4 linked regions of the Lonchura striata genome follow. The protein of the gene in region 4 purifies or fractionates together with the protein of the main gene of each other region. This does not show direct contact. Links are inferred from orthologs where the notes say so. Each region holds a gene or a part of one and is shown on either strand. Other genes may lie near its edges.

Region 1 (7,162 bases), on a different chromosome or scaffold from region 4:
ACAAAGCCTGTTGCCTATTGCCCAGTCTGTGTTTAAAGGACACAGTAGGGAACTCTGGGAAGAACAAAAACACACTAAAGGAGCCACTCTCTCATGGTGTGGATGGGAGGGGTACACAGGGTTATTACAGGGGACAAACTTCTCAGAGACCAGGCTGCAGGTGTCTCACAAAACAGCCCATGATATGCTTGTTCGTGTGAGGTCCATGTAGACAATGCAGCTGTTGTTTAACATAAGTGCAATATAACATTAATTTATTGAGCGGCAGTACACTTCACAGGAGATGTCCTTAATGCTGTACTGACAAGAAATTCCAGGTCTCCCACCCCCCATGTGACTTTATCTCCAGCCCTGCTTTTGCAGTTAGATATTTGTGTGAGAGGTGAAGCCAGAAATGTCACCTGCACGTCTCCAATTGCCATGTGACTGTGACCCTGCCAGATCCATATAATCCAGATACCGTGATAGGCACAGGTTTCCCACATCAGCCTGAACGGCCACAGCAGATAAAAGGAGATGCAGAGGAAGAAGCAGCCCTGCCCTAAAACACTTGCAGTCTAAGTAGGCAAAGTAAGTGAGCTGGCTTTCAAATGGCCTGAGGGCTGGCCTAACTTTATTCCTGTTGAAGTCAGTGATAAAAATCCCATAAATGGAGCCTTTTGGAAAATCCCACCCTTGGGGCATGAAAGTACTTAAAGGAAGAGACTGAAAATTGTGCAAGCTTTAGATTCAATTTTCATCAGTTTTTATGCGTATTTCAGAGGCCCCAGCCATGGAATGACAATACATCCTGTGACTTTCTGTTTTGCTCATGCACTTTTCATAAGCAAAATGTGTAGGAAAAATTATACTGTGGTTTTAATTACGCCCCTAGACTGCATTATCATGGGCACACACGTGGTGCACGGAGCTGTGAAGAACTGGTACCATGACGTGTGATAAAGGTCGTGCGACTGATATACCAGTGAATTCTGAAGAGGACAGATAATCTTGCTCAAGGCTGGCACTCAGGTGATCCAGTGTCATTTCTCAGTTCTGGCATGGGCTTCCTGTATGACCTCAGTACAGTCATGTAATTGTTCAGTGCCTCAGTCCATCATCTTTTTAATAGGGTTACTACTTAGTTACTTCCTTTCTCCCGCCCTCTCCTGCCTCACTTAGACTGCAATTCTGCCAGGGAGTGGAGCATTTCTTACCACGTGCAGGCCCTTCATCCAGTACAATGAGACCTAATAGCAGTGCTGGTAGAGTAATGCAATGCCAATTAAATAAATAAATGAAGATGATAATATCATTTAGGACTAGATTTGCTGCTTGCAACCCAGCCCAAGGTCAAAGTTCTGTGCTTCCCTGGAGCTTTGGGATGCGCTCCATGTGGAGGTTTCTGCAGTGGTGAAAATCAGCCCCAAGCAGTAGCTAGTTTTGGGAAAGGGCTGAGCACCGGTCACAGTTTCACAGGTGGCCTTCTGTGGCTAACTGCTGAACGTCACAAGGAAAGCCTCCTTGGAGATGTAGTTGGCCTAAGCAACTTCTCACCACACCTTTTTGTCTGAACTTGGTTGCTGGCTCTTCAATGCCACTGTGGTTTTCCTCCCTACCAACTGCTAAATCATATACACAAATGCCAGTGTCACAATTGGAGAGTGGCTGGTGTCTTTTTGAGCTGCCTTGCATTTTTGTAGGGGCCATGTTACAACAAAAGCCGTGGCAAGGCACTCAACATTGTGACCCAAAATGGAGTTGCAGTGAAAATTATTTCCATTACTTGAACCTGCATTTATTCTGATTAATTCGGTGTCTTTTGCTATATTTAGACAACCAGGGATTAATTGTATGCATGCTGAAATGCTGTCCCTTGTAATAAAATCACACTAAACTATTCCTAACTTCAGTGGCTCTTGAACTAGACACTTAGGGCCTTAGGCCTTACTTAGTAGCACGCGTGAGGCATGCAGGATCAGGGTCTCGATTGTTTTATAATCAAACTGAATGGTTTACAAATCTCTCTACTTGTCTATAATGCAATACATCAGGAATAGTTTGTCTGCTAATTTTATCCGGCACATCTTCTGAAGCACACTGCTTCTCAGTCCATGCTATTGTATCTTGTCTCGGAGACCATGTTGGACTAAATCTAGTCCACCACAGTCTAGGTCGGTATCAAGCCGGGTAAGAACTGATACATAGAAGTTGCCATATGAAGTATTTATAACTACATCCATATTAATAGCTTTTATGTTCCTTGGTTTTGTGGGTCACCCCTTTATTCAACCCATAATTAACTACATATTCAAGTGAGCTACTTTGGAGGGCTTTCTGCTAGGGCATAGCCTCTAAGAGGGAGGTACAGCGAGATTGTATTTCACGTGTGGACATGTCTGAACACGTTCCTGGAATCACCCACAGGCAGAGTGAAAGTTTTCAAATTACTAAATTAGACTCTGTATTTTAAAGTTTACCAGAACAGCTCGTGTGCACTAATAATTTTTGACCAGTGAAAATGAGTACAGAAAAGAAACAGGCCTAATACAACTCTTGGAAAAATTTACCGGGTACTTGGAGAGGTTTGAACGCTTTCCACTGGGCCGGCCGGACAGGGCTCCGGGGCCGCAGGGACGGCAAGCAGAGAAGCGCTGCCCTCCCCAGGCGCCAGCGGCTTCTCCAGCCCGCCCAGCTCCGGCGCCTTCCCCCATCCCGGCGCTCCCGCCCCGTTGGGGCGGCTCCTGCGCGGCACCGCCCGCCCGTGGGCGGGCCCTGCCGACCCGTGCGGTTTGGTTGAGTCTCCCTGCGTGTGTCTATAACTTTGTGTTGCTGCCGGTGGTTGTTAGGAGGAGGGATGTGGAAGTCGGCGGCGAGCAGGGTGACAGGCTGCTCGGGCGGGCTGCGGCGGCGGACGGGCTGGGCGCGGGCGGATCGCTTGCCTCTCGCCGGCTGCTCGCAGGGGGAGCGGGCGCTCTGCCGTTTTCCCATCCTTCGCCTTTAAAGGGAAGGCTCTCTGGAGCTGAAGGCGCAGGAGCAGCAGGAACCATGCAGCAGCGCTGCTTCTTCCTCCCGTGAATTCGGATTTCGATTGCTGCCGGTTGTGGAGGTGGCTCTCGATCCAGCACCCCCCCGCCGTCTCCCGCCCCTCCCGATGTGGCTTTGCCTGCCTCGTCTGCCTGCGCTTTTTAAATGACTTAAGTGAAGGGGGGAAAAACTGTCAAGATGGCAGCAGCAGGAGCAAGGAGGTTATGAATGTGGTGTTGATGCTGGAACAAAACGTATTCTCTTTGGCAGCCCTAGGGAGGGCTTAAAGCTACTGGACCTGTTGGAAGACTGGCGATTTGATTTGTTCCCGTTGCATTTGCTTTTTCCCTGCAAGAAGGAGGATTTATTACTATTTTTTTTTTTAACCGAGCAGCCCCCGGGGTGGCCTTCTCCTGCCTCCTCGTCCGTCGGCTGTGAGATTTTGGGGGGTTGCTTGCGCTTGGCTTGGGGGCACTGCAAAGTGACAGGTTTACGCTAGTGTGCAGTTGGATGTATGCTAAGACTTCGGCTCCCTTTAGGGCGTTTTGAAGAAGGAAAAAGTCTTCGGTGTAACCCAAAGGACCGCTCTCCCTGCCCTCCCGCCGACGGAGGGCGCGAAGGACCACCCCCCCAAAAGGCAAGATATCTGCGGAAGCGACGAGGAGCGAGCTCGGAGGCACCGGGGGCGTGAGGGGGTCTTCTCCCGGCTGGATACAGCGCGGTTCTCGCTGAAGCTACTTCTGCATCCGCATGGAGTGAAACATAAACAAACGCACACACGCACCGCGGGAGCGGCCGCCGCTCCGCCGGCGCGGAGGTCAGCGCCGCGGGCACCTCCGGCACCGCCCGGCCCGTGCTGCCGCCCTGCGCGGCCGCTCCGGCTCCTAATCTGATTTTTTTTTTTTTTTTTTTTAACTCCCTCCCTCCCCTTCTCCCCCCGCCTCCCAGCTCCGGCGTGCGCATCGCCCGCGGGGAGCGGGGCTCGGGGCGCAGCGGAGAGCCGGCCAGCCCATAGCGGAGCGCGGCATGCCCGCCCGGCAGACCCCCGCCTGCTAGGCTCCCGTCGGCACCGAGGAGGCGGCGGAGGAGGAGCGGGGTCGGCGGCCGCCCGCCCGCCCCGTCGCAGCGCCCCGCAGCCGCCCGCGGGGGAGGCCAAGATGGCAGAGGCGTCGCCCCCAGCCCCGCTCTCGCCCCTGGACGTGGAGCTGGACCCCGAGTTCGAGCCGCAGAGCCGCCCCCGCTCCTGCACCTGGCCCCTGCAGAGGCCCGAGCTGCAGGCCAGCCCAGCCAAGCCCGCCGGCGAGTCGACCGCCGACGCCGCCTCCATGATCCCCGAGGAGGAGGACGACGAGGAGGAGGGGGGCGGCTCGGCCATGACCGTCGGCAGCGCGGCTCCCGCGGGCGGAGAAGCAGCGGCGGCGGCGGCGGCGACCACCGCCGTGCCGGAGGAGGCGGCGCGGCTGCTGGCCCCGCTGCCCGGCGGCGGCCCGGAGGGACCGAGCCTCTCGCCGGGGGGAGCGGCGGCGGCGGCAGGCGGCGGGGGGCTGAGCGGGGGCCCGGCGGCGGCGCCGAGGAAGTGCTCGTCGCGGCGCAACGCGTGGGGCAACCTCTCCTACGCCGACCTCATCACCCGCGCCATCGAGAGCTCCCCGGAGAAGCGCCTCACTCTCTCCCAGATCTACGACTGGATGGTCCGCTGCGTGCCCTACTTCAAGGACAAGGGCGACAGCAACAGCTCGGCCGGGTGGAAGGTGAGGCGGGATCCCGGGGCCGCGGCGCTCCCGCCGCGCCGCCCCGACGGGCGGGCTGCCCCTGGAGATGCAGCCGCGGAGCGGGGTGCTGGCGGCTCGCCCCGACAGCAGCCCGCCGGGCGCTGGTTGTGCTGATGGTGGTCGCCCTGTCGGCTTTGCTTTTTTTTTTTTTTTTAGGAGAGGGATTAAGGAAAGTTTTGTCTCTTTCTTGTCGCTTTGTACAAGCGGTGAGGGCTATTGACTCTGAGGGCAGAGTACGCGCTGGAGCTCAGTTGACTTTTGTGATGCAAAAGCACATAAGCAGAAAGATAGAGGGAGAGAGTAAGAAAAATGAAAAATATTTGTAAGGTGTGTGGGTTTTGCTTTGCCCTTTTTTTTTTTTTAAGTTATGGTAACACCGGAGGTAGTTAATGCTGGAAACGAGCAGAATTGCTTTGATGTATGGTCAGTCTGCATCTCAAAGCTCAAATACAGAAAGACTTTATTATTTTTGTCAAGGAAACCCCCAGTTTTTTGCCCATGTGTTCCTCAAAAGCAGTAGAGGGAAATTCGCGTTTTGACATTTCTTCATAAAGTTAATCAAAGCATGGAGTTATTGGCTGTTCAGCCCCTGGAATGCGTGGTTTGTGATTCCTACGTTTCCAGTGTATGAGAGCACCGTCTACTGATAGTCCCAGCATTTTCTGTCCAGCACTGCGACAGTGAGCAGCTAAGAGTACTACCGTTTTAATAAGTGAGGGGGAAAAAAAAAAAAAAAATATCTGGTTTTGTGGCTTGTTTGCTCAGCGCGTGCAAAAGCACGTTGCAAGCAGGCAGGGTTTTACCCTCAAGAAAGAGTCATATAAGGCCTACCAGGAGCCAGAACTGCATGTAAAGCACATTTGAAGTGATTTTCAGAACTGCTTTTTTTTTTTTCCTTAGTTTTCCTGTTCATCTGTCAGCGTCTGTTGGACGCCAAAATGTCACATACTTGCAGCTGTACAAAAATGCAGGTGCTGCTTGATGCCGATACTGTTTGCAGAAGGAAATCCCAGCAAGGTTCAGTTGCTGCTGAGGGCCGATACTAGCAGCATCTGACACTGAGTTTTTGTATGGATGGCTGAAGGTAAATTTGCCAGCAAGTTCAGTGCTTTTATAGAAAAAATTAAATTTTCTCTTTGAATTTAGCTAGATTTGGATCAGGTGATAACTTTCAGTATACAAATTGGTCACAAATGCTGTATAGATGAAACATTTCTGGCAGTTTCTGTACTAGCAGCCTTATCATGTATTTTGGTGCCCGAGTAGGACTTGCTGCTAGGAATTGAAGTGCGGCTGTATGATTTTTACCTTCCAAATGAAGCACAGGAGAGGAAGTATTTAGTTGACAGACTTGTCTTAGGCTGGAGAAAATACAAACACAAAGTTTACTGCTGGCATGGCTAGCTGAAGACAAGGCTTTTAAAACCACACATATTTTTTTACAGCTTTTTTGTGTGTATTAGATGTTGAATTTTGATCTGACTTTACAAGTGTGACGCAGAATGTGCTAAAGGGTTACATCTTCCAATGACAGCCTGTGCCTTCATAAGTTGTTCGGTTTCACACACAAGCAGTGGCTTTAGATGTCAGCTGTTACGGCAAATCCAGCATTTTTATCTGGTACTTTGAATTTTCAGTGAATTCTCAATATCTTATTCAAACAAAGATTTACCTAACAATGGGGGTAACACTGTTTTGAATTTGGTGACAAAACTCCTTTTCACTTTAGCAGAAGCAGAATCTGGGCCATAATATGAAGTGCTTACATTGATTAGTATCCTTAATACTGTAACAATTTTTTTGACACTTTATACTGTTAATTTGATATTGATTCCTTTGCTGAGCAGCATTAACTGGTACTTGGAGGTAATTAAAATGTTAAAAACTTGGATCCCTTGAGATTCTTCTGTTATAATTTAGTTCAGAAGTTTCTCACAAGCCTTTAGGATGACCTTTCTCAGGACATGCAGTCACACTGGTAGCAGCAAATTCTGCCTCTGATTATGAGATGTCTCTAAAGTTAGGGTAAGACATTCAGTCACATTAACGATGGGTGTAGTTGTGTGTGGGTGGTAGGGGCATACTGGAAGGGGCCAGGGGGAGGTCAGGAGCTAATAATTCGCCAGGCATCTGAAACTGGAAAACGTAAGTCCTTAGCAAGGCTAGGATTTTTTTTTAAGTGCGTATACATTCAGAAGAGGACTACGTCAGTTTCTTGGCTGTAGAGTAGTTTAGTTTGTGCAGAGGCAATATTCTTATATGGGGACTCCATCTTAGTCTCCTGATATTAAAACACATTATATCTTATTATCATCTTTGTTTCCTTCCCAGGTAATGAATACAACTCTTCAGGAACTAATGTCAGCTTTTCACATTAGACTTCT
Region 2 (7,699 bases), on a different chromosome or scaffold from region 4:
TTCTGATAAGGAGGCAGTAACTCTTTATGGGCCCCAAATCACTGCCATCTCTGTATGAAGAGTTTCTTGATTATTTCATCTCTTGCTTGAGCCAGTAAAAAAAAAAATCTTACATCGTAGAGTTTCTATTTCAACATTATGTTGCAACCTAAAACTGTATTTAACACACTACTTAAGAGAATTAATACAGCATAACTTTCTAACATTACACATATAATATTCATTGTAACATTTGCGAAAAGCCAATCATAAAGTATGCATTTTTCACAGGTATGTAGGAGTCTGAAAGGAAGAAAAGCTTGATCACAAGAACACTGCTTCAGGCAGAATAAGCTCTTTGAAAACCGCTTGAACAGGACGGTCAGGGTGAATGTAGGGGCCCCTCTGCTGTAGTGGTCAGACCTGTGTCTCACCCAGCACTGATCCTGGGCTTGGCACTGTCCTTTGTGGCTGTCTGAGACCGAATTTTGATTGCTGAATAAAAACTTATTTTTATTAATTATTAATTTGGCTAGATCACTTTTACCTGTAACAGCGACCGAGATTCAGTCTAAGTGGGATAAGTCCTTGTCATGCCTCCCTTACACAATGATTCAGCTGCGAAAACTCTTCAAAGTACTGGGACATTCATGCCTGGGATGAGGCAATTCATGTTGGCTGATTTGCCGTAACACTGGATGTGGATTTCTTAACTTGCCTAAGGAGTTTTAGATCTCATCCTGACCACCAAGATTACAATTTATTTTATTTGCAAGGACACTCAGTGATCAGGAGCCCTGCTCTTGAAGCAGTCAATGCACATTTTGGAGCTCTTTGGACATTAGGCAATTACCAGGAGCTAGCAGCTTTTGTCCCAGGGGCATTGTGTTTGGACACTCAAACACTGCACCTTTCAGTTTGAGCCATCCCTTCATCTGAGCCCATTTCTGGGCTCAGGCTTCTCCTGCTACCTGCTTTGGAAGTGGCGTGTCATGGCTGAGTTCTGCAGGCAAAGCTTAAAACTTTCTTAAGACGTAATTCTCCTCCTAACTAAGCACCCAAGCCCTCATAGGGGTCATTATCAAATGTTGTTTCAACTGCACACTGCTTTACTGACTTCCACCTGGCAGATCTAGTTCCTGTTTAACCTCCAGTGTCCTTTTGCACTTTGCTCAGGTGGTTTCATTCTCTGTAGACAATTTACGGCTTAGCGGTTCTTTTCTCTCCCTTCCTTTCCTTCTCTCGGGCAGTCTCCACACAAGCCAGTAATAGAAAGGGAACATCACTAAATTTAAACTATTGCTAAGAGTCACTACCACAAAGCCACTGAGTCATTTGTGCTCAGAAGTCCCTACAGATACCCCCTCATGACAATTCAGGACAGTTTTCAGTGTCCCTACGCCTCGACTGAAGACCTCAGACTGCTAAGAACTGAAGAGTTGTGCTGCCTCCGGCAGAGGCAGGCAGTGTGAGCAGGTTCCCCATCACCTGCCCAGAGGGTTTGCAGCTGGGACTTCACAAGGACAGCAGTGGTGGGCTCCAGAGAGCTCCTCTGAAAGCCTCCGTGCGCTGTCTCCTCCCCACGGCTCAGCGAAGCCGGCTGGGGGCTGCACACAAGTTCCTGACACAGGGCTGGGAGCGCCTGCTGTCCTCAGCTGTGTGTGGACAAAAACGGCACCACACTCCTGGTACTAAAAGTGATTTCAGCATTTATTATATAAAAAAGAAAGACCTAAAGCATGGGGGCCCATGGGCCAAGCAGAAGTATTCCCATCGAGGATGCTGCAGCGCCAGGACTGGGTCCTCTTTCTTGAGCAGTGATTTCCGCGATGTTCCAAGCGGAGCCACACGGGTTCAGTGGGTAGATACCCCCTTTTTATGCTGTTTTTTTGTCCCTTTGGTTTGGTTTTTGTTTGGATCCTTCATTTGCATGAGGGTTTAAGGCGCTTGATTGGCCCATTACAGTTCTGTCCAGGCTGGCTCGTTTCGCCTGGGGGCGGGGGGGGGCGGGTTGGTGCACTTTACTCAGGTGCAAATACTCTTATCTACCCTTTTACAATAACCAAACTAACAGCACGCGCTAAACAATCATCAGCTATTTTGCAACAGTTTCTAACCTACTTTTGACACACAGTTTAGCCTCCCAAAGCTTCCCCCGGCAGGCACACGCGAAGCGATGTGCATTAAGGCACAAAGAAGCGGCAGCGACTACTCCTCGGCCGCTTTGCCGCAGCTTGCTCCGTACCGGGAGGCGGCGCAGGGCGGCTCCGAGTTTCACTTTCTGTGCCGGCTCCGGACCGAGCGGGAAATGAAAACTGAGCGGCGGGGCGGGCGCTGCCGCTGCGGGGCCGCTCCGCCCCGCCCGCTGCCCCGCCGGCTCCCGCAGCGCTCCCGAGCGAGTCCCGCATTCCTCCCGCTGCCCCGCCGGCTCCCGCCGCCCTCCCGAGCGAGTCCCGCATTCCTCCCGCTGCCCCGCCGGCTCCCGCCGCCCTCCCGAGCGAGTCCCGCATTCCTCCCGCTGCCCCGCCGGCTCCCGCCGCCCTCCCGAGCGAGTCCCGCATTCCTCCCGCTGCCCCGCCGGCTCCCGCAGCGCTCCCGAGCGAGTCCTGCATTCCTCCCGCTGCCCCGGAGGAGCGGCTCCTCCGCGGGCAGACGCGGTGTGCCGGCCCCGCTGCCCGCAGCCTGAATGGGTAAGGAGCCCTTCTGCTGGTTTGTGAGATTGGGGCCCGGAGGCGCAGCGTGTCAGGAGGGAAGGAAGCAGAGGGGAATAATCACGGAGAGTAGTTTGGCAGCTGAGTGCTCCTTTCAGGAGCATCCCGGAGAAGTGTGGAGGTGATGCGCTCTTAGGCGCTTCCTTCCCCTCAAGGGTGGGTGGTCACACCGAGACTGCTGGAGCCAGCACCTCAGGGGGACCACAGAAACAGAATAGATTGGGTTGGAAGGGAGCTTGAAATCATCTCGTTCCAAGCCCCGTGCTGAGGGCAGGGACACCTTCCTCAGAAGGTGAAGAGATAATTCTACTAGAATAGATTGGGTTGGAAGGGAGCTTGAAATCATCTCGTTCCAAGCCCCGTGCTGAGGGCAGGGACACCTTCCTCAGAAGGTGAAGAGATAATTCTACTAGAATAGATTGCTCCGAGCCCCGTCCAACCTGGCCTCCCTGCGGCAGCCCATCGGCACCCCGAGATTCCCAGGAAGGAAAAGGAGCTGAGAGGGAAGGGACAGCAAGCGCCAGAGGTGGGAACTCTGCTCGGGCACGGGGTGCGGGGAGTGAAGGGACAGCTCGGGGTCTGGCATGAGAAACCGGTGTCTTGGGAGGGCGGACGGAGGCTGGAGCAGCCCAGGGAGAAAGGGAGGACGCTGGGCTGGCTGAGGGAGAGGAATGTCAGGGTAGGTGATGATTATGGGGCGGAGGGTATCGCTGCTCCCTGATCTCTGCCCAGTGCTGGTGCGCTGAGGTACCGAGTACTACCCCGACCTGCAAAGAAGCGACGCTGCTCCTCCACTGAGAGCGGAGAAATGGGGGGCAGGAGGAGAGCCAGGCGCTCAGTCCCTTGGCTCACTCACCACCTCTTTTATATACCTGTGCAGGAAGAAAAGGAGGTCCAGTGCAAGTCTTAGGAAGGCTGTGTTTCTGATAGCTGAAACGAGGAGGTTCCGAGGGTTGGGAAATTCTGTTTGTGTCCCTGCTCCTACAACAGGATCCCTGATAGTGGTGACTGGGAGAAAATTTCATTAAACCAAGGACACAAGTCCTCCTGTATCCCTCTGCACCTTCCTGTCCTAAGATCCCTAAAATCTTTCTACCTTTTCCTCAAGCCACCCGAAGTCATTCAGCCCAGTGTTTGCTCTTTAATCCTGCTCTTAATCCTCCCTTTTTTGACAAAACCTGCATCTTGCAGGTTTTCTTTATCCCCAATATATCCCTAGCTATGTTTAGCTACCTCTGTGCTGCCTGTCCCTCTCCTTTCTGTCTCTTTTGACATCCCCACTGCCTGGGAGCATCCCTTACCTCCTGGCTGACTCTACACCAGCTAAACCCACCAGCCTGAGATGAGCTCCCACTCCAGCTCAGCTTTCAGAAATTTGAACGTATCATTACATCATTTTCAGGAAAATGGGCAGTCAGTGTTCAGGCTCTCTTTTGGCAAGAGAGAATCAGATGAAATTTGTATTTTCCTGCATAGCTATTCTAATCACCAGGTCTGGGTATAAAAAGTAATGGCCTTTTAGAGTTTGTTGTTTTTGTTTGTTGTTTTTTTTTTTCCCCACCAAAAAAACCCCAGCAAATTTGACAATATTTGGTAAATCTTAGTGTGCCACACTTAGAGATCAAAACTAATCTTCAAAAGCAAACAATCAAAAAGTACAATTGGAAATAAGTATACTTAATCTTAAAAGAAATAATCGGGGGAAAAAATCAATTTCTAGCTTTTCTGCCTGAATCTTCAGTAACTTTGATAATTGACACTATTAGGCATACTTAAACTAAAAACATGCTTTTAAAGCAAAGATTTTTTTTTTTTTTTTTATGAAAGGCAGAGTGAGGATTTTGCTCATTTCCCTTTCTCAGTAGCTTTTCTTCATTCTTTCAGTGCTTGGCCTTTGGTTGATTTTATGAGCTGTTTAATATTTGTAAAATAATAACTTCTGAGCATTTTTTGGGTCTCCACCCCACCCTTCCCAGAGAGTATACTCTCTTTTCTGATTCTGTTTCCATGTTGGCTTTTAGGAAGTTTCATTTTTGCATAGTTGCATTTGAACTCTTATCAGATGGTTTTGTTTGTGTGTTTTTATTTTGCTTTAGTAGCTGAGCCGCAGGAGACTGTCAGAGTAATGGTCTGTTGAATACTCCCTTAAGAATCAAGGCATTATAATGGTTCTCTTGCATGAACAGTTACTCTGCCTGTGATCACTTGAAGGAACAGAAAAAGAAACTGGTATGTTGGTACTTAAATGTGTTTCAAAATTACAGTCCAAAGTGCCACAGTAGTGCTGCGACTTGGGCGTTAAAACCAATGCAGGTAGCCCAGCAAAGAAACCAAATGTGCTTAGCAGGTCAGAAGAGAAGGTGAAATTTGACCTTTTCAATACTTGGGCTACTTTTTTTTTTTTTTTTTTTTTTTTTTTTAAATAAAAGATGGCTTATTTCCAAACAGAGGAGTTTTGCAACATCTGCTTTTGGGCAATTTTAATCATCTTATTGACCAAATCTTTCCGAACAGGGATATGTGGAGTTCCTTGGCTAGATGGAGCTGTTTCTGTGGAATTGAAGGCTCATTTATTTATTTAGCCACAAGAGGAAGACAGGATAAGCAATTGTCATCAGACTCCATTTCTGTTCCTTTAGCAATAGCCTGCACTCTTCAATACCCATGTTAATTCAAATATCCCATGTGCTGTTGCAGTAGTCTTACTGATTTTATTGATATTCCAAGCCAAGCTGGATGGGGCCCTGAGCAGCCTGATCTAGTGGTTGACATCCCGACCTGTGGCAGGAGGTTTAAATTAGATTATCTTTAAGGCTCCTTTCCAGCCCAAACCATTCAATGTTTTTTTGATTTCATTTTTTTCATAATGAAAAGGTCTCTTCTGTCCTTGAGCAATATTGTTAATGGGACAAACAAGTGGACGTCAAGAAACAAATAAGAAACCAGAAGTGGCACCAAGCGAGATCATGGAGGCAGAAATTGAAATACAAAATAATAAAGAGGAAACCAAAGAGGTGAAGGCCAAAAACCAGAAGCTGACATCAGTCTTTGGTCTGGCAGACTTAAAAAATGGTAATAATGTTTTGCCTATTCTTCACTGTCATATTTTCTATTTCTTTTGCCTACTGTTCCGTTCTCTGTTCATAGGCTTAATTTTCTCCTATTCCTTATCATCTCTTCACTGAGGATAATTCTCATTTTGCCTTGCTAAGTAACCATTTTGATTTTTTTAAGAATTAATTACATTAAGATCTCAGAGCTTTTTCTGTATTTAAGTCCTCAAATTGGCCATTGCAGCCAAAAAGGCCTAGTTGCTGGTTCTGTCTCTTTCCAAACACAGCCAGAAGTGCTGGATTTGTCAAACCATGGATTAGGCTCTGGTTATTCTCCTCATACAGGCAGCCTTTGCCTCCTGTTCTTCTATTTTATGTTGAGGTGTGTTGTGAGAGGACTGAAAATAGAGGAACTGGGAGAAATCTGAGAATCATTAGCTGGGTTTCCTTGGATTTTTTTCTGTCAGTTGCCAAACAAAACCAAATTTTATCTGTTTGATCAACGAAAGAATAGATTGAACACTTTTTCAGGCCTGACCAAGATGCTGAGCCTATACACTGAGTTACTGAATGTGCACAAGAGGAGTTTGCCACTTCCAAATAACTTTCACTTTCCTTTCTTGTACCTATCCCCAGGCCTCACTTCATCTTTTTCTCCCCTACAGAAGCTATTGGACTGTACAACCTTGGGCAGAGCTCCTGTCTGAACTCTCTGCTCCAAGTGTTCCTCATGAACATATGCTTCACAAGGATACTCCGAAGGTACCTCCTGTTTGAGCTCCCTGAGATATTTCCATTGTTGCACTGTTATCTCTACTCCTTTTATATGGGATACACTGTATATACATCCAATATATATATATATCCAATACTGTGTATTGGATCACTGAGGTGCCATCAGGATGCTTTTGGTCCCTCAGCAAGGTGTCTGCCTTGTCGTGTCTGTCATGCACTGACAGGTCCTGCAAAGGTAGAAGTTGCAGTGTCCAGACTTGCTAATCATCTCTGATTCGTGTCCTGAGCTGAGTCTTCATGGCTTGTATCTCTCTCCTTTCCCTAACAGGATGTAATTTTATTCCAGGCTCGCTCATAGGCCATTATAATAAAGGGTGTGTCACATGTAGCCATATCCACTATTGATTTTGTCACTTGAAGCATGTAAACATAAATATATCTTAATCCCTTGCCTCTGGGCCCTGACTGCCTTGGCTAGCACCTGACAGAGAAGTGTTGTTGCAGATCATGAATACCTAGCATTACTTAGTTTTGCTTGACTGTTGTCCACGAGTATCTTGAGGAGGATTTGGGCTTCTCTGTCTCTACTGACCACACTAAGAACTGGATTGATTTGTTTTCAGTTTACTCACTTCACTGCAGATTTAGTAATCTAAGTGGATTGTTTCTATTTAGTCCTTTCTCACGTGCCCACTAGTAAGCAGAGGAGAAAGAAGACAGATTTCAGATATGCAGAAATGATAAGTGTCATAAATGGACAAAGCTAAATAATGTAGATTGTAGGTTACCATGCTTATTTGAAGAAAGAAAAACCTGTGGGCTACTGTAAATTTAGGGAGAATTAAGAGTTTTGTTGGCATATTGTTGAAATACAAGCATTATGATATATGTGCCCATGAAATTTTGAGGCCAAGTTGAGAGTGAGGACATCAATGAGTGGGAGGCAACAAAGGTCTGGAATTGGCTGCAACTAATGTTGTTTCTAGAGGCCAGAAAGCACTTGAGGTCCTGCTTGGCTTGTCTCTTTTTCAGGAGTAAGCCAACTTAAAATTTTGGCCTTTTACTTTAGAACTGTCAGCCTGCACTATGGGATCCTTTTCTCTTTTTTTGATGAAAATGTCCCCATTCTGGTTCTTCTTGAGCTGCTGTCTCTGCTACTGACTTGTGCTCCTTCAGGTGTGGTGTCTGATATTTCTCCATTGAACCTCTGACTACCATTGG
Region 3 (7,297 bases), on a different chromosome or scaffold from region 4:
AGCCTTACAGGCTAGCAGTTTAACACTGTAATGCTGCTGCTTCTGCTCCTGTGTTAATGCTTACAAGTTTTCCCCACTACAGTTCTTCACATTCAACAGTAAATGTTTAATTTTAATAGTACCAAAGGAGCCTATCTTGAGACATCATGAAAAGCAACCTACTAATTCAAATTACACTACAAGACTAAGCCCAAAAATAGGCTTCAGATCACCAAGATTTCAGAAGATGAAACACTTACGCAGCCAGAAGAATTGCTGCTGTTCCTACAAGCTGTAACTTCCCTCGGAGAACAGACATGCAGGAAAGAAACCTGTCCAGGAAGTTCACTGCCAAGTACAAAGTCTCTGTCCGAAGTTTATACTCTTCCCCTACTTCCACCAGCCAGTCTACCAGGATAGCACGCATTCCTGTTGTAATATCTGGCTGCTTCTTCATGTAGAAGGGCTTGGGCCTAAATCTTAGCTGTTTGAAAAGAGTTGAAGAATCAGGATGATCACTCTGAAGAGAACCATGGATGGCTGAGCTGATGAATATTCTTTATACTTACACTAAAAGGAGCAGGAGTTGTCCCACTCTTAATAAATATAAGTACTAACTACAATTGTTGTGCTAGTGGCAATTATTCCCAGCTAGTGGCATCTCTAGAAAGTAGTATTTCTACACTGAAGAGACAGATTGAAACTCTGGTGTTAGCAGGAGAATAGTAAAGCACTTCCTGGACTGTGGACAGCCTTTGCCATCAGTTGAGCCATTCAGAAGGATCTGAAAATGAACCAATCAGATTTTCCCCCTTCTTCCCATCAGGAGACTGCACTTCAGTGCTCTGACACAGGAAGGTAAGAATAAGTACTGCTATAGCCAGAGAGCTATCAGTGAGATCACATCAAACTGCTTTAGCACTTTTTCAGCATTCTTCTCCCATTTGCAAGAAGTCTTCATACCTAACAGTCAAGAGATGCTCCCATCAGGAATTAACAGGGATGCATTAATCCTGAAAGAACTTATTACTGACTATATGCTGCCTTAAGAAATTACTTTTACTATTTCTCTTCTTTGTAGTTCAGTGGCAGCCTTGAATCTTTGCAATATTGCAGCTTACCACAGGTACCTAAAAGCTTCCCATAGCAACTTACTTCAGCCTCTCGGAGGTACTGATGAATGTCTTCTGCATACTCTCCCACAGCCAGAGTTACAACATCTTCCATGTGATCCTCTGGCTGGGATTGGAAGGATGTGTCCACTACCATAGGAGAGCCTAACAGGTAATAGGAAGCAGCAAGACATTTGTATAATTAATCTCTTGACTTTCTCTCGCTAATTTTAGCTCAGAAGTGTTGCCCTTCACAATCCAAGTTAGCTTCTAGTGTTATTTATTGTCACATAATCTACACACTAACTTACAATTCACAACTCATAACCACCCTACATGTGGTTGTGCTAAGGACACCATCTGAGCAGTAACAGGAGTTACCTGAACTCAGATCCAGCAGCCGGTGAATACTGGATGTCATTGCACTGGTATCCAGTTCACAGTGGCTTAATTCCAGCTCTTCAGACACTTGGCAGCTGTAGTTTTCTTTATCTTCTGGGTCATCTCTGTAGATAGCAAAACGTTGCTTTGATACAGCACTGACCATGCAGCTGGGCACTTCGTCTTTTCTAGAGGAGGGGATGATGTTTCCAAAGCCAGAGAAGCGCTTGATAACAGCAGCATCCTGAAGCAGAGCACACAGTAACACTGTGGGAGGGCAACTTACGAGGAAAACAGTGTGTCACGTGTTTGCAAAAAGAAAATCACTTTCTGTGTAACAGACACCAATGACAAAAGTTAATGGGAAAAGCCACCAACTACCTATGATGCTTCTGAAGTTGGTGCCACTTGTTGCTGTCTTGCTGTGACAGACTCCTCACAGAAAAACTTAAGAGTAGCAAAAGTCAGGAAACCAGGGGAGCAGCATCATATTCAGAGCCTCCCACCAAGGACAACGTGGGTGCTGCTCAGTTCCAAGGGGCTAGAAAGTCCAGTCTGCTATACATTCAGCTCTGGCAAGGAGCAGTTGCAAGTGCAGCAAGTTAACAAAAGTGCTCAAGCACTGCCACAGACTTAGGAAGGACTGCACCAGCAAGAAGGCATTTCAAGTAGAGTTTGAGTATTCAAACTGAAGTTTGAATTTTTGAGCTTAAGCATTGCAACCCTTCAAACCATGTGTGACCAGGCTACAATCCTTCACACCATCTTCTGCTAGTAACACAGCCAAAACCAAGAAGAATTTGTGTACCCATACTTGCTGCTGTTTTAGGTCAGAAGAGTAACATTATCCCTGCCCCACCAGCAGACTCCAGGGGACTCAGGGGACAGAAAGGCAGAAAAATGACACGTCATTGACTTGAACTTCTTGAAGGCTCTGGCACCCTGAACTGAGCATGGCTAGCCACACACCAAGGAGAGCTTTGGGTCAGTGGACAGCCTTTCTTTAAACCACCCCCTACACTGAGGAGGGGAAGCTGTCGAGAAGCATATCCCTTCCTTCCAGGATGAATTATTTACGCAGAGTACTTCCACGGGGAAGCACCCGCAGGTTAGGACTGAGCGGTTACTAGCAGGGTTTCTCGGGAAACTCACGCTTAAGAACTGGAGTCCGAGTCACCTTCTGACCCCGCCACGCCGGGCCTCTGCCGGCAGCCTCGAGGCAGGTGCGTGCACCGCTCATGCCGGCGGCTGCTCGGCCGGGCTCTGCGGGCGGGGGGCGGCAGTGCTGCCGGCCGCGGGGCTCACCTGGCCGCCGGGCCGCCGCTGCTGCCCGTTCTCCGTCAGCACCGCCAGCACGGCCCGGCCGCCGCTGCTGCGCAGGGCGGCGGGGCAGGACTCCCGCCGCCCCGCACGGCTCTTCTCTCCAGTGCGATGCATCGCCCCGACGCCCGTACCTTTCGGAGGAGCGAAAAAACCCACAGAAATAAAACGAATTCGCGGAGGGGGGGGAAAAAATAATAAAAAATCCTTCGAAAGACCACAAACGCGCCCCCGGCAACCCCTTCCTCCCGCCCGCCCCGCCGGATAAGGGGTGCCCCACCGCGCTGCCCGGCTCCGCTCGCCACCAGCCCACGGAAGGGACGGGCCGCCCTGCGCCGCCCAGGCCGCCCGCCGGCCCCGGTAGGCGCGGCCGCTGGAGGCGGCGGCTGTTGGCCGCGGCCGGTTGGCAGCCCGGCCGCTCAACCCCCGGCGCGCCGCCCCGCCGGCCGCGGGTCGCCATGGAGACCCCGGCGGCCCGGCCCGCGCAGCGCCCGCGGAGCGCCGCTGCCAGCGCCGCCCGGCCCGCCGCCCGGCCGCTCCGCCTGCGCTCCCAAGGATGGGATGCGCAGCAGCAGCGGCTCTGTGGGAACAGCTGGGCTCGGACTTCATAAAGCCTTTGATAAAGGATGCGCAAGAAAAAGGAGCTTTTAGTTTAAGGGTGGGTTTGACTCCCGTGATAAGTCCAAGCCGAGGGACAGCTAGGTGCCGACCTGGCGCGGCTATTGCATGGCTAAGCAGTGCTCAGCTGCCAGCACGGGAAACACAGCGGTTCATTCAAACCACCAAAGTTTGTCACCAGTGATGTGGCTAGTGATACAGGCAGCGCGTTTGCTCACTTTGTGGGAAGGCTGTGGCCATGCTGGGGAACACGATTAGATTTCTGAAACGATCTAAGGAAACTGGAGAAATGTTCGGGAAAATCAGGATGCTCCTGAAGCACAAGTGCAAGGTCAGAGCCAGTGGATGCAGAGCCAGGATGGGGAGCAGCCAGTAGCAGCTCGGTGAAGAGGATAGAGGATGTTACAGTCAACCTCAGCCTGGGCATGATTCACCGGGGCATAGCTGGCCGAGCAGGAACAAACAGGAGTATATAGCATGTGTGGCACATGAGCTCTCTGAAAGTCCATAGTGAAGACAAAAGAGCAAGAGTTACTGCAGCTGAAACCTCAGCATGAGATTTAGGTTAGATGACAGAATTGTGATGCCCCAGAAGAGACAGCACGGGAAATTTAAGAATTTCCCTTATTACAGATTTGTAAGAGCAAATTAAAGAGAATTTTGTCAAAACTGTCTGTGCCTTGGCAGTGATGATACTTCTTGAGATGCTCTCCAGGATTGAAATGTAGAAGTGATACTTCTTGAGATGCTCTCCAGGGATTGAAATGTAGAAGATATGATCCAAAATTTGGATATATCAAGCAGGATCTTTTGCCAGAATTGTTTTTTTTTGCAGTTCTTCTGATCCAATCTGCATTAAAGGGCTACATTTTTTCTTCACAATTTTCTTACATTTATTTTTTAACCAATTCCCACTGAACCCCCAAAAAGGAATTTACCATAAAGGGCAAGTGGTATATCTGAAGGTGAAAAATGTTACCTGTTCATGACAAGCAATTTTTCCTTTTGGATGGGAGGGGCTCTATATACTTGCAGCAATAGGGCTGTAAGTAGGTAGTTACTGTAGTGGATCTGTCATGGCTACAGGTGTAGGCAAAGGCAAGTCAGGAAAACAGAAGATTATGCTGTATATCCATGTTCTTCTCTTTCTTTAATTTCTAACCCCCTGGTTTGCAGAAGGAACACTTCACTTGGGGGCAGTAATTTAAACATTTTTGTGCCAGGTTTTAATTTCTGAAAAGAAATTAGTTTAGTTGCCAGCCTTTGAAATCAAATATTAGCCTAAGTGGAACTTCAAACACTCCTTATCCTTTTGTTTTATGGAATTACCAAATTAATGTTCACTCTGTGAGCACTCTTTATATCCAAGTACCCATCATATCTTTATTCCATTTATATATAACTTAGGAACCTCAGCTAGCCAACAGATGATTTATTCATATTTTTATGTATGAGCAGCAGATGGCTATCCTCACTAGCCATATTGTGCATTAATGTAACTGAAACGCCTCTCAAATGCTTTTAATGAGGTTATCTAAGCACCAGTTTCTCAGGAACTCTTTGAAACAGCCCAGTATAGATTAGTACCTGAGGGAGGCCAGTGAGCTTTGCCAGCCACTATTTAATTGTAGCAGCAAATCAAATAAAGCTTTGGGCCATTAGTCATTTGCTTCCGAGCTTCCCTGTGTGTTTGAGAGGAAGCTGAAGCCTTCCTGAGTGGACTCCTAGGGCTTCTTGCAGTAATCACTGTCTTACTGATGTTTTCTAGGAAGACAGAGAAGTCAGAGCAATTCCTGACTTGGCAGGGGTGCTTCCCTCCTCTGTGCCTCCAGAAAAGATAGTGTTAAAGCACTTTTTTGTCTTGTCAGCCTTTCCTAGATCCTTAGTTCTTTCTCCTTTTTGTGGTCTTTGCTTCAAATGTTGTCCAGCTTTGGTGCTTTTTTCAGCTAAAGGGTCTTATTCCATGCTGTGGGAACAGGCACTGGTTTCTGCTTTTTTCTCTAAAAATCACAGTTAATTCCCAGTTTTTACACAGCAAGCTCTGTGCAGGCTTCAGTTCACAATCTGGGGCATGGACCCCTCTGCCCACAAATTAAACCACTGTCAGCTGTCCCCTTTTCTCTTCACCCTTTGAAGTATTTTTTGGTTCCTAGGGTGCTTTAATCCCTGGGCTTTCATCTTGGCCTAAATAGTTATTTGGTCTGCAGCCTGGGAGTAGCACCATTGCTGACAATAAAAGTCATAGTCTTACAATTAAGTGCAGGTGTAATATGAGAATCAGTTCATGGAAGAGTGTTGCAACTTTCCAGCCTTGCTCCTCCAAGTCTCACATTGAATTACAACATGGCACTCATATTGGAAAACACATTCAGGAAGGTTAGACACTTATAATTACTTTGGCCAGGTCACATTCAGTATTTGACAAGTCTTTCCAGGCCAATGCATTGAGAAACCACACAGCAGGTCCATGTGTGGCATAGACTCTTCTGAGGTCAGCTTTATGGCAAAGCGACAATGGAAATCCCCCTGAATAGCAAATCTGATGCACAGCTGCATAACACCCTGGAAAATGTGCTGTAGGAGCAGTCTTAGAGTCAGAAAGTTTCTAAAAAGAATTATGAAGTCTTCTTGACATTGAGAGCAGTGTCTGAACTCAGTGATGTGCAAGGTCCTATCAGGACCTTGTTTTATGGTCTTAAAGTAGCAAAGCAGTGGAGAACATTACTTCTTTCACACGGCTATGATTCCTTGGGTTGTGGATAGTCCCCTGGCTGAAGTGTGTTATAATTATCCTACTAGTAAATTAATTTCACATTACTTAAGCATACATGGACTGTATCTTGAGTTTTGCTGTTTTTCTGAACCACCAAAATTGGAAAAATGGTCAAGAAGTAGGACATAAGTACAGGGCTCAGGAGTTGTTGGCCAAGGCATACAAACAAGACCAAGACATAGTCTTGAGCCACCAGCTCTTCACATACAGGGTGATAGATCACTTTGCACTGTCTGTACTAGGCATTTGAACTATGTCCCAGATAGAGCCATGAGCATCTTGTTCCCTCTACATCAGGACTCTTGCTTCTGTCTTCTGTGCTTGCAGCTGTGTTGTACATAGTGTGGTTGATGCTGTGAGAAGCCTGATGCACTCTGCATCTTTATTATCCTAGTAGGTTGCCTAAGCTGGAAGCACAGTCTGCCTGCAAATCCCATTGCCCTCATGCTGGATAATACAGGGACGCTTCAGAAACAATCCTTTGCCACTCTGTCTCATGTGTGATAAGAGGCAGAGCTCACTTCAGGGAGCAGAGGAACCTACCAGTGTGACACAGCACCAGCTGATGCCCACAGCAGGGAAGCAAAGCCTAAAGCCTTGAACAGCTGCAAGGTTTTCCCTTTTGGGGTTGTGAAAGTCCTAACCAGAAGACTATTTTGCATCAGAGAGTTAGCAATCCATGAGTGTCAGCCCGAGCAGGCTGTGCTGCCCTGTGCTGCATGTACAGCTTGTCCTTCAGGATAAACTCAGCAGGGTGATGGTAACAGAGGAGCCCACAAGCAGCTCCCACTCTGTGTTTTCTAATACACCACCTGTGTGGCCTTGGCATTATCTTAAAGAAGAGCAGCAAGTTCTCATGTGAACATAGTTGTTTGACAACAGATATGATGAATACATTATTTTTTGTCTAAGAAAATTCTATAAGAGGACACAAAACCAAAATGTTAGGGAACCTTTCTACAGGATGGGACCTATACCATATGCCCTGAGTAGAGGTCTGTGAGGTGCTGCATGGCTCAGGGCTCTCACATCTGAAGGGATGTAAAATTACATATATTCTTTCTGTCCTTGTGTTAGCTCCAGAAAATGGTGTTTTTAGCAGTAGCTTGTGAAG
Region 4 (6,966 bases):
GGACAAATTTCAAGATTAAATTCTATTCTGCTCTTTTTTCCTCCTTTTAGAAGCAATCAACTAATTTTTTCAAAGGGTTAAATGTTTACATTAAATGTTTCTGGATAGCTAATGAACAACTTTTTTAATGGAGTGTACCTTAAATACATATTTAAAGTCTGTACATAAGCTTTAATAGAGCATAAAAACACAGAAAAGAATGCGTTAGTCTACTTGTAATGCACCTCTTTTAGGTTTGAAATGTCAAGAATTTTGATTCACCTTCCTACTCCTCTCTTTATTCAGAGAAACAATGGTCTCAATTCATTTGGTATAGTTTGCCATTATGTATTTTTGCTTTGCTTGTCCTTCTGTGTTTTAATTACTCTCTTACCATCAGAACTACTGTCAGAAAGTTCATACAGCTTTACACAGCAAAGCTATTACACAAAGGGACAGTGAGCTGCACAAATCCATTACAGAAAATGTCACTGACTTGTTACATTTTTATTTAAATTGCTTCAGACCTCTGTAATGAGCATCATTTTATCACAGCCATTTTATGCGTTATTTAAAAGGTTTATTACTGTGGCCAGTCTTTCTTGTCTCTCCAATGAGATTAACATTTCACTAATTTTATTTAAGTGAAATAGTTTTTGCTATGGCTTTGCTGTTAAGACTTCCAGTACTTCCACTTTTCTTGAGATTTAAAAGGAATGCTATTACTGAAATTCCTCTCTATTTACTTTTATATCTCTTTAGAACTTCGTAAAGTGAACAGTTTCTTTTACTGATTTCTCAGTGAATTGCTTAAGCAGATCTACAATGCTTGAGGGCACTACACAGTGAAAACTCTCTTATGTACACTAAAAAACCTCAGAAGTTTGTTAAGTCATTACTACCTTGATGGACACAGAGGAACAATTATTCTGTGACTTTTTTCTCCCCAGCGAGTTATCTTCCTGTTTCTAGTCAAAGATTCACACACTTTTACTTTCCTGCCTTTTGTCAAACATGTTTATAAAACTATCAACACTTCCATTAAGACAAATCCCCTCCTTACTATCTGTCTGTACTCTACTTTAGTTAGATAATTTGTACATTAAAAACTCAGGATATCTCACCCATTTCTCAATCACTTATTCAAAGCAAGTCCTTGACTGTTCTTTTGCACCATTATTGCTTCCACATAAAAGTCTTTTCAATTTACAGTATAACAGCTAATTTCGCAGAAGCAAAAATAACAAAACAATTACAGCTTCTAAAAGTATCAGCTTCATTAAGGCACTGCCATCTGGCATGCAGTTTTTCGTGCCCATTAGCACCACACCTTTTGCTACGTAAACAAAAAAAATTATACAGCATACACTTCATTAGTCACAAAGTTTTATTACAGTCACACCTAAAAAGCTTCTACCAAAACAAAAGGTAAAATGTTTTTGTGCAAGATGCCGCGCTCAGCTACTATCATGAGTGTACTTCCAGAAGTGTTATAAAAACGTACTGAATGTTCTAAAGTAAAGAGGGAATTGATTCCTACTGCAACTTAACTCACTTTCAAAGACAAAAGTGACTTTGCAGTTGTCAGTAAACTACATCTTTATGTTCTTCTCTGGTTCCCATTTTAATCTCAAAACACAAAAAAGAAAGGCTATTTTTTCAAAAGACCAAGACCAATAACAGAGTTGTTTTGAATTAATATATATACATTTTCAAAGTAACAGTTTAAAATTTTTAGATAGAAACCATTTAAAACCAGCTCTACACACAGAACGATTAAATGGAAGAAAATCCACAAAGTGAGAAATGCAATACTTGAGAAGAGCTCTTCTGGTGAACTGAATGCAATCCAACAGTGCAGATGCAGATACGTCTAGGACCTGTGCTACTAGATCAGGCCTTAAAATACATTACTGCAGGCTATAAAGCCATGCCTTCCTGTGGAAAGCAGCATTTGCCACTGAACCTGGTTGCTAGCTCAAAGAAAGCTAAGCCTCTTACCTATCATCCTGTTTCATCACTTTATTTAGACAGCCATCTCACTATTGGCATACAGCTACGTAGTATCTGCTTGCTGGAATTCCAAAATTGCTAAAACAATGTTGTACTGAAACAACCACTTCAGAAGAGCTCTCTTGTACTGTGGAACCTTCAATGGCTTAGAGGATGCTTCTATTAAAGCAATGACAATGACAAAGTAACAAGAGCCCTCACCATGAATTGAGAAGTACTTATCAGCATACTCAGTTTCTGAAAAAGCAGGCAACTACAAATTAATACAAATAAAATTAAAAGCTGAAACACTGGCACAGGAAGTGTAACTTAAGCAATAAAACATAAGGACATGCTCCTGTGTTAGCTTAGGATTTTCCTGCTTCTTTTTAGACGGACAAAATCAGCAGTTTTTCATTCTACCCAACTACTAACACTGAATGCACCATAAAGGACTCAGTTCAGGCTTAATACACCCTAAATATGAGAGACTCCCTACTATCAACAGTATTAAATTACCCTGCCAACCTAAGAGCAACTGCATTCACGACATCTACATTACAAATGAACTCTGCCTGGTACAGAAAACTCAACCTACTAAATGAAACAGCAGAGAATGAAAACCCCCACACTTTTGAGCTTTAATATAGCACCAAATTTAACAAATCCACTCCAGTATTATATTCTTAAAGAAAGGCTAGAAAGAGTAAAGCATATCTGTTAAGGATTCTGCCAGTCTCCCAGCCTGATGGGAGACTGCGCTCACACAAAGCAGGTGTCAGTAAGGCAGTCAAATGACTACTGCCCAAACACTGCTTTCAGGCAGACTATTTATTAATTTCCAGATTCTAAAAAACACTCGGGTTTTTTGTAAAACCCTCTTTCGATTTCCCATACATTAATAAAAAAGATTTACATGACTCACAAAGGAAAAAGGGGCTGCAAAAAAAGGTGAAATAAACTCAGCTTTTTTTTTTTTTTTTACCCAAAAGTCCACCTCTTTTTCATCTGATTATCTGCTTAAACAATCTTTGAACAACTGTTCCGTGACTTAAGATAAAACCGGAAACGGTGAAAAAATACTTTTTGAAAGATTGTTTGGATCTTAATTTGAGTCACATCATTCTCTCTCTGTATGTGACTGAAAGCTGTGTGCTCTTTGCTACGGGCTCCATTACCACCCTCAATTTTATAGGCACGTCTCTCCATCGCTATGCAGCAAACAAAGGACAGCATCTGCAATCAAGTGGTTGACTAAGAGCAAGGCTGTAGGTGTGTTCAGAATTAGTTCTCCATCCCCACCAATTTCAAAACAAGGAGTTTAGCGTAAAAAACGCAGGAAGAGCTGTATTGCTGAAAGTCCCGCGGTGTGAAAAGACTGCGGGGTCTCTTCAAGGCATGGTGAGGCTCAGGACCAGGTGTTCCCAGAGAAAACCTCTCTCGCTGGAATGCGCCAGCGCTCCCCGGCGTCCCCGCCCGGCGGTGTGCGCACAGGCCTGTGCGGCACAGCACCGAGCTCCAGGGACTCGGAACCAGCACAGCCCCGCCGTACGTGCCCGGGGGGCAACACCCGGCATGCGAGCCTGGAAACCAACGCACCGACCGCCCTCGCCCAGCCGTGCTCCGCGACCATCCTTCCCTCCGCGTCTTTGTCGCCGGGGACGTGCCCGGGGACTGCCGCTCCCCAACCCGGCTCCTGTCCCCGCTCCCGGCCGTGACTCGGCACTGCGGCCCCGCTCCGCCCGGCCCCGCATCCCGCCCGCTGCGTCTCACCACGGCCGAGCAGCCGCTCAGCGTCGCGTCCCCCGCGGGGCTCCACCGCCCACCATCCCGGCCGGCACCCGGCTCAGAGCGCGGCACACGGAGCGGCGGCCGCTCCCGGCTTCTTCCGCGTCGGAGCCGCCGCCATTCGCCGCCCGCTGCCGCCGGCCCGGCACGGCCCCGCCTCCGGGCGGGCACAGGGCTGCGAACTACAGCTCCCGGCAGCCTCTGCGCTCCTGCCCCCGCCGCGGCTTCCGGCCGGCGCCGGGATAGCGCGGTGCTGAAAGGCGCGGGGCGCGCGGCAGGCGCGGACCTCCGAGCGCCATGTACAGGTACGGGGGCGGCGGGACGCGCGCGTGCGAGTTCCGCTGCCGGGCTGCGTGGGAGCCCTCACGGACCCCTCGGGAGGCCTGGCTGCGCGGGGGTGCCTGGGGGGGCCGTGCGTGGGAGCGCCGGGAGCGGGTGCGGGACCCGGGGAGCGCGAAGGAGCTCCTGGGCATGGGAGCCGTGCCGGGATCGCTCGTACGCGTGCGGCCCCGCGGGCTGTCCCCGGCCAGCGGGGGGTCCTGCCCTCGGGATCCCGGCAGCCGCGGGGAGCGCTTCCCCCACCTGCTCGGGCGTCCCGTCCCGGTGCCCGCGCTGCCGTCGCGGCTGCGGGCGGGTTTGGTGGCGCCGGGAGGCTGCCGCGTCCCGCCGCTCCATTGGCTCCGCTCCCCGGTGCCTCGCCCGCCCCATCCGGGAGCGAGGCGCGCTCAGTCCCAGGCGCGCTCTTCCTCAGTCTGCCAGATCGAGCACACGCCTGCGCTGTGGCCTCCGCTCGTGCTTCCAGCGCCCGCAGATATCCCACACTTAATTGCCCTGCATATGGATGTGGAGTACGTGTGACTGAAATGCTTCAAGGATCCCCCTCCTGTGTTTAGTGTCAATCTGGCAGTACTCTCAGAGCCTCTGGGTTTTGCTGTGTCTGCAGAAAGCACCTCCAGGAGATCCCATCCTCTAGCACTAATGTTTCCACCACTTTGGAATGGGACCCCGGCAAGACCTCGGAGCTTCTCTCGGGTATGGGAGTGTCGGCCCTTAAGAAAGACAAGCTGGGCAATGAAAACACACCACAGGACCTGCTGGTGTCATCACCCTGTCTTCCTCCAAAAAGGCAGAAGGTGAAGGACAACGAAAAGGACTTTAAGGACTTTGTTATCGTGCGCCAGCCATGGCTGCTCCGACAGGCAGAGTCAGGTACTGTCACCCTAGTCCAGGTTTTGCTCACCCTTTGGTAGAGATGGAGAGTGAGCATCACGAGTCGGCCCTGCTTTGTTGTTAGTTCTTTTGCTCTTATCCAGCAGAATGTCACTTTCAGATATAGCGGCTTTCAGGCTTGGGGTGATAAATCCTCTTTTATGTGTGCCTTTAAATAGGGGTGGTGTGTCTGGCTCCAGAATTGTGGCCCATGAAAAACAGGGTTCTCTGCTGCCTAACCCCATGAGCACCTTTGTGTTTGTGCTGGGGGATGGTGTTGCATGTCCCTGTGCCTGTTTGCTCTTCTGTATGGGACATAGGTGGCACTTCAGCCCAGCAGGGCTGTGTTTGTGAATCAGTGTTTTAAGGTCGCTCGAAAATCAGTAGCAAAAGTAGGCTTAATATAAAAGCAGAAGTGTGACAAAGTTTGTTGGCAACATTCATTCTAGTTACCAGGTGCTTAAAGAGCACAGAGAAAAAGCAAGCTAAAATCAATCAGTCTAAAACCAAAGTCAATCCAAAAAATACCTGTTTGAAGGCAAGAGGAGAAGGGTAAAAAGAGTGCAGGCTGAGGTGTGCCAGCAGGGCTGTGTGCCAGCTCCTGATGGAAACAAGCAATATGAGGGACCATGCCAGAGGCATAGAACCATATGAGGGAAATCACATCAAAGGGTGGCAGCCTGCTGTGCTGGAAAGGGAAAGAGCAGGGCTCTTGGACTCTTGAAAGGGGCGTTAGAGAATACTAGGTTTCTTTCCTTGGTGTCTAAGTGCGGTTGTACTCTGGATGAGTATGGGATGCAAAATAAATAAGCAGCTCTCTCCAGGCATTATGCTGTCATACAGAAGGTGGAAATGCCTTCAGACAATCCTCTTTTTATATAAGACGCACTGCTGGGTTAAAGGCAGCTGTTACTGAGCTCCACCATTCTCAAATCTCCCATATGAATCATGACACATTCTGGAGCCCAGAGAGAAGCCCTGTGGTTTGAACCACATTGTTTTACATAATTCTTGGAGTGGTGATAGCATGTATGTTTTAGGAAGCAGTGTGTAGTACCTGATTTTGTCTGTGTATCATGCAGAAGCATAACTTACCTTCAGCTCCCTTCTGGGACCCTTGCATGCATAGGAAGAATGATCATTCACAGAGGGGAAAAAAACCCCAGAAAATCATACAAGCATTAGATTACAGAGGCAGTAACTAAGATGCTCTTGTTCCCAAAGTGAGTTATGTGAGTAGTGTCCATGGCTTTACTATGTATACAAAGTGAATATTACAGGAACCTTTCCATTTACCAGTCATGCCTAGGCAAAGATGGTAAAAATGTCATCCTACAATGATAAGCTGCAAGGGAGATGAATAGTGGGGCTGATGTCTGATGTAGGCTGATGTGTGGCCTACAGAGAAACTGTAGAGAGGCTTTTAACAACCAAACCAAGCAAGGCATCTGACCAGAAGGTGAAAATGAACTAGCTTTAACTAGAATGTGTTTTGCTCTTTCCCTACAGGTATTTCTTTGGATGCACTTCCAGATGAATTGCTTCTGGCAATCTTTGCCTGTTTGCCCCTAAAGGATTTACTGAAAGTTTCTACTATTTGCAAGAGATGGCATCGACTTTCGTAAGTATTATTTCTCTTCGTTTAGCACTGAGGAAAATCTTTGTTTTCATATACCATTAAATGGTCTGGTTTTCATCTTATTTATACATATATAATTCAATTTAGGCCATATGTGGGTATGTATATCCAAAAGATGCCTCACATGTTTTAACATTATTGTAGTCTATTAAATAGCTTTCCCTTCTCTGTTTTTGACACCAAAAACTTTCTGTGGTTGTACTCATAGCTTTGACCTGTTACCCATTTGAATTCACTAATGAGTAAAATTCTATGCCCCAGATTTGATGAATCTCTCTGGCAGACTCTTGATTTGACTGGTGGGAATCTGCTGCCAGGACTGCTTGGTCACCTGTTGCCTGCAGGTGTTACTGCGTTCC

What was found.
Region 1: the proteins of SKP2 (region 4) and FOXO3 purify together in Homo sapiens (affinity purification with western blotting; 3 studies listed by BioGRID). This does not show direct contact. The link is inferred for Lonchura striata from reciprocal best matches to the Homo sapiens genes SKP2 and FOXO3.
Region 2: the proteins of SKP2 (region 4) and USP18 purify together in Homo sapiens (affinity purification with western blotting; 4 studies listed by BioGRID and IntAct, with this or other methods). This does not show direct contact. The link is inferred for Lonchura striata from reciprocal best matches to the Homo sapiens genes SKP2 and USP18.
Region 3: the proteins of SKP2 (region 4) and CCNA1 purify together in Homo sapiens (affinity purification with western blotting; 4 studies listed by BioGRID). This does not show direct contact. The link is inferred for Lonchura striata from reciprocal best matches to the Homo sapiens genes SKP2 and CCNA1.

The regions. Positions count from the first base shown.
Region 1 is NC_134605.1:69,784,071-69,791,232, reverse strand, and holds the start of FOXO3 (forkhead box protein O3), read left to right. Parts: upstream 1-4,148; 5' UTR 4,149-4,163; coding exon 4,164-4,757; intron 4,758-7,162. UniProt on the Homo sapiens protein: Transcriptional activator that recognizes and binds to the DNA sequence 5'-[AG]TAAA[TC]A-3' and regulates different processes, such as apoptosis and autophagy.
Region 2 is NC_134607.1:13,675,931-13,683,629, forward strand, and holds the start of USP18 (ubl carboxyl-terminal hydrolase 18), read left to right. Parts: upstream 1-4,688; 5' UTR 4,689-4,919; intron 4,920-5,564; 5' UTR 5,565-5,593; coding exon 5,594-5,762; intron 5,763-6,408; coding exon 6,409-6,505; intron 6,506-7,699. UniProt on the Homo sapiens protein: Interferon-induced ISG15-specific protease that plays a crucial role for maintaining a proper balance of ISG15-conjugated proteins in cells. Regulates protein ISGylation by efficiently cleaving ISG15 conjugates linked via isopeptide bonds.
Region 3 is NC_134604.1:65,660,930-65,668,226, forward strand, and holds the start of CCNA1 (cyclin-A1), read right to left. Parts: upstream 3,013-7,297; 5' UTR 2,910-3,012; coding exon 2,778-2,909; intron 1,717-2,777; coding exon 1,473-1,716; intron 1,257-1,472; coding exon 1,135-1,256; intron 464-1,134; coding exon 240-463; intron 1-239. UniProt on the Homo sapiens protein: May be involved in the control of the cell cycle at the G1/S (start) and G2/M (mitosis) transitions. May primarily function in the control of the germline meiotic cell cycle and additionally in the control of mitotic cell cycle in some somatic cells.
Region 4 is NC_134642.1:37,835,082-37,842,047, reverse strand, and holds the start of SKP2 (S-phase kinase-associated protein 2), read left to right. Parts: upstream 1-3,965; 5' UTR 3,966-4,056; coding exon 4,057-4,064; intron 4,065-4,341; exon of another isoform or gene 4,342-4,449; intron 4,450-4,702; coding exon 4,703-4,968; intron 4,969-6,477; coding exon 6,478-6,589; intron 6,590-6,868; coding exon 6,869-6,966. UniProt on the Homo sapiens protein: Substrate recognition component of a SCF (SKP1-CUL1-F-box protein) E3 ubiquitin-protein ligase complex which mediates the ubiquitination and subsequent proteasomal degradation of target proteins involved in cell cycle progression, signal transduction and transcription.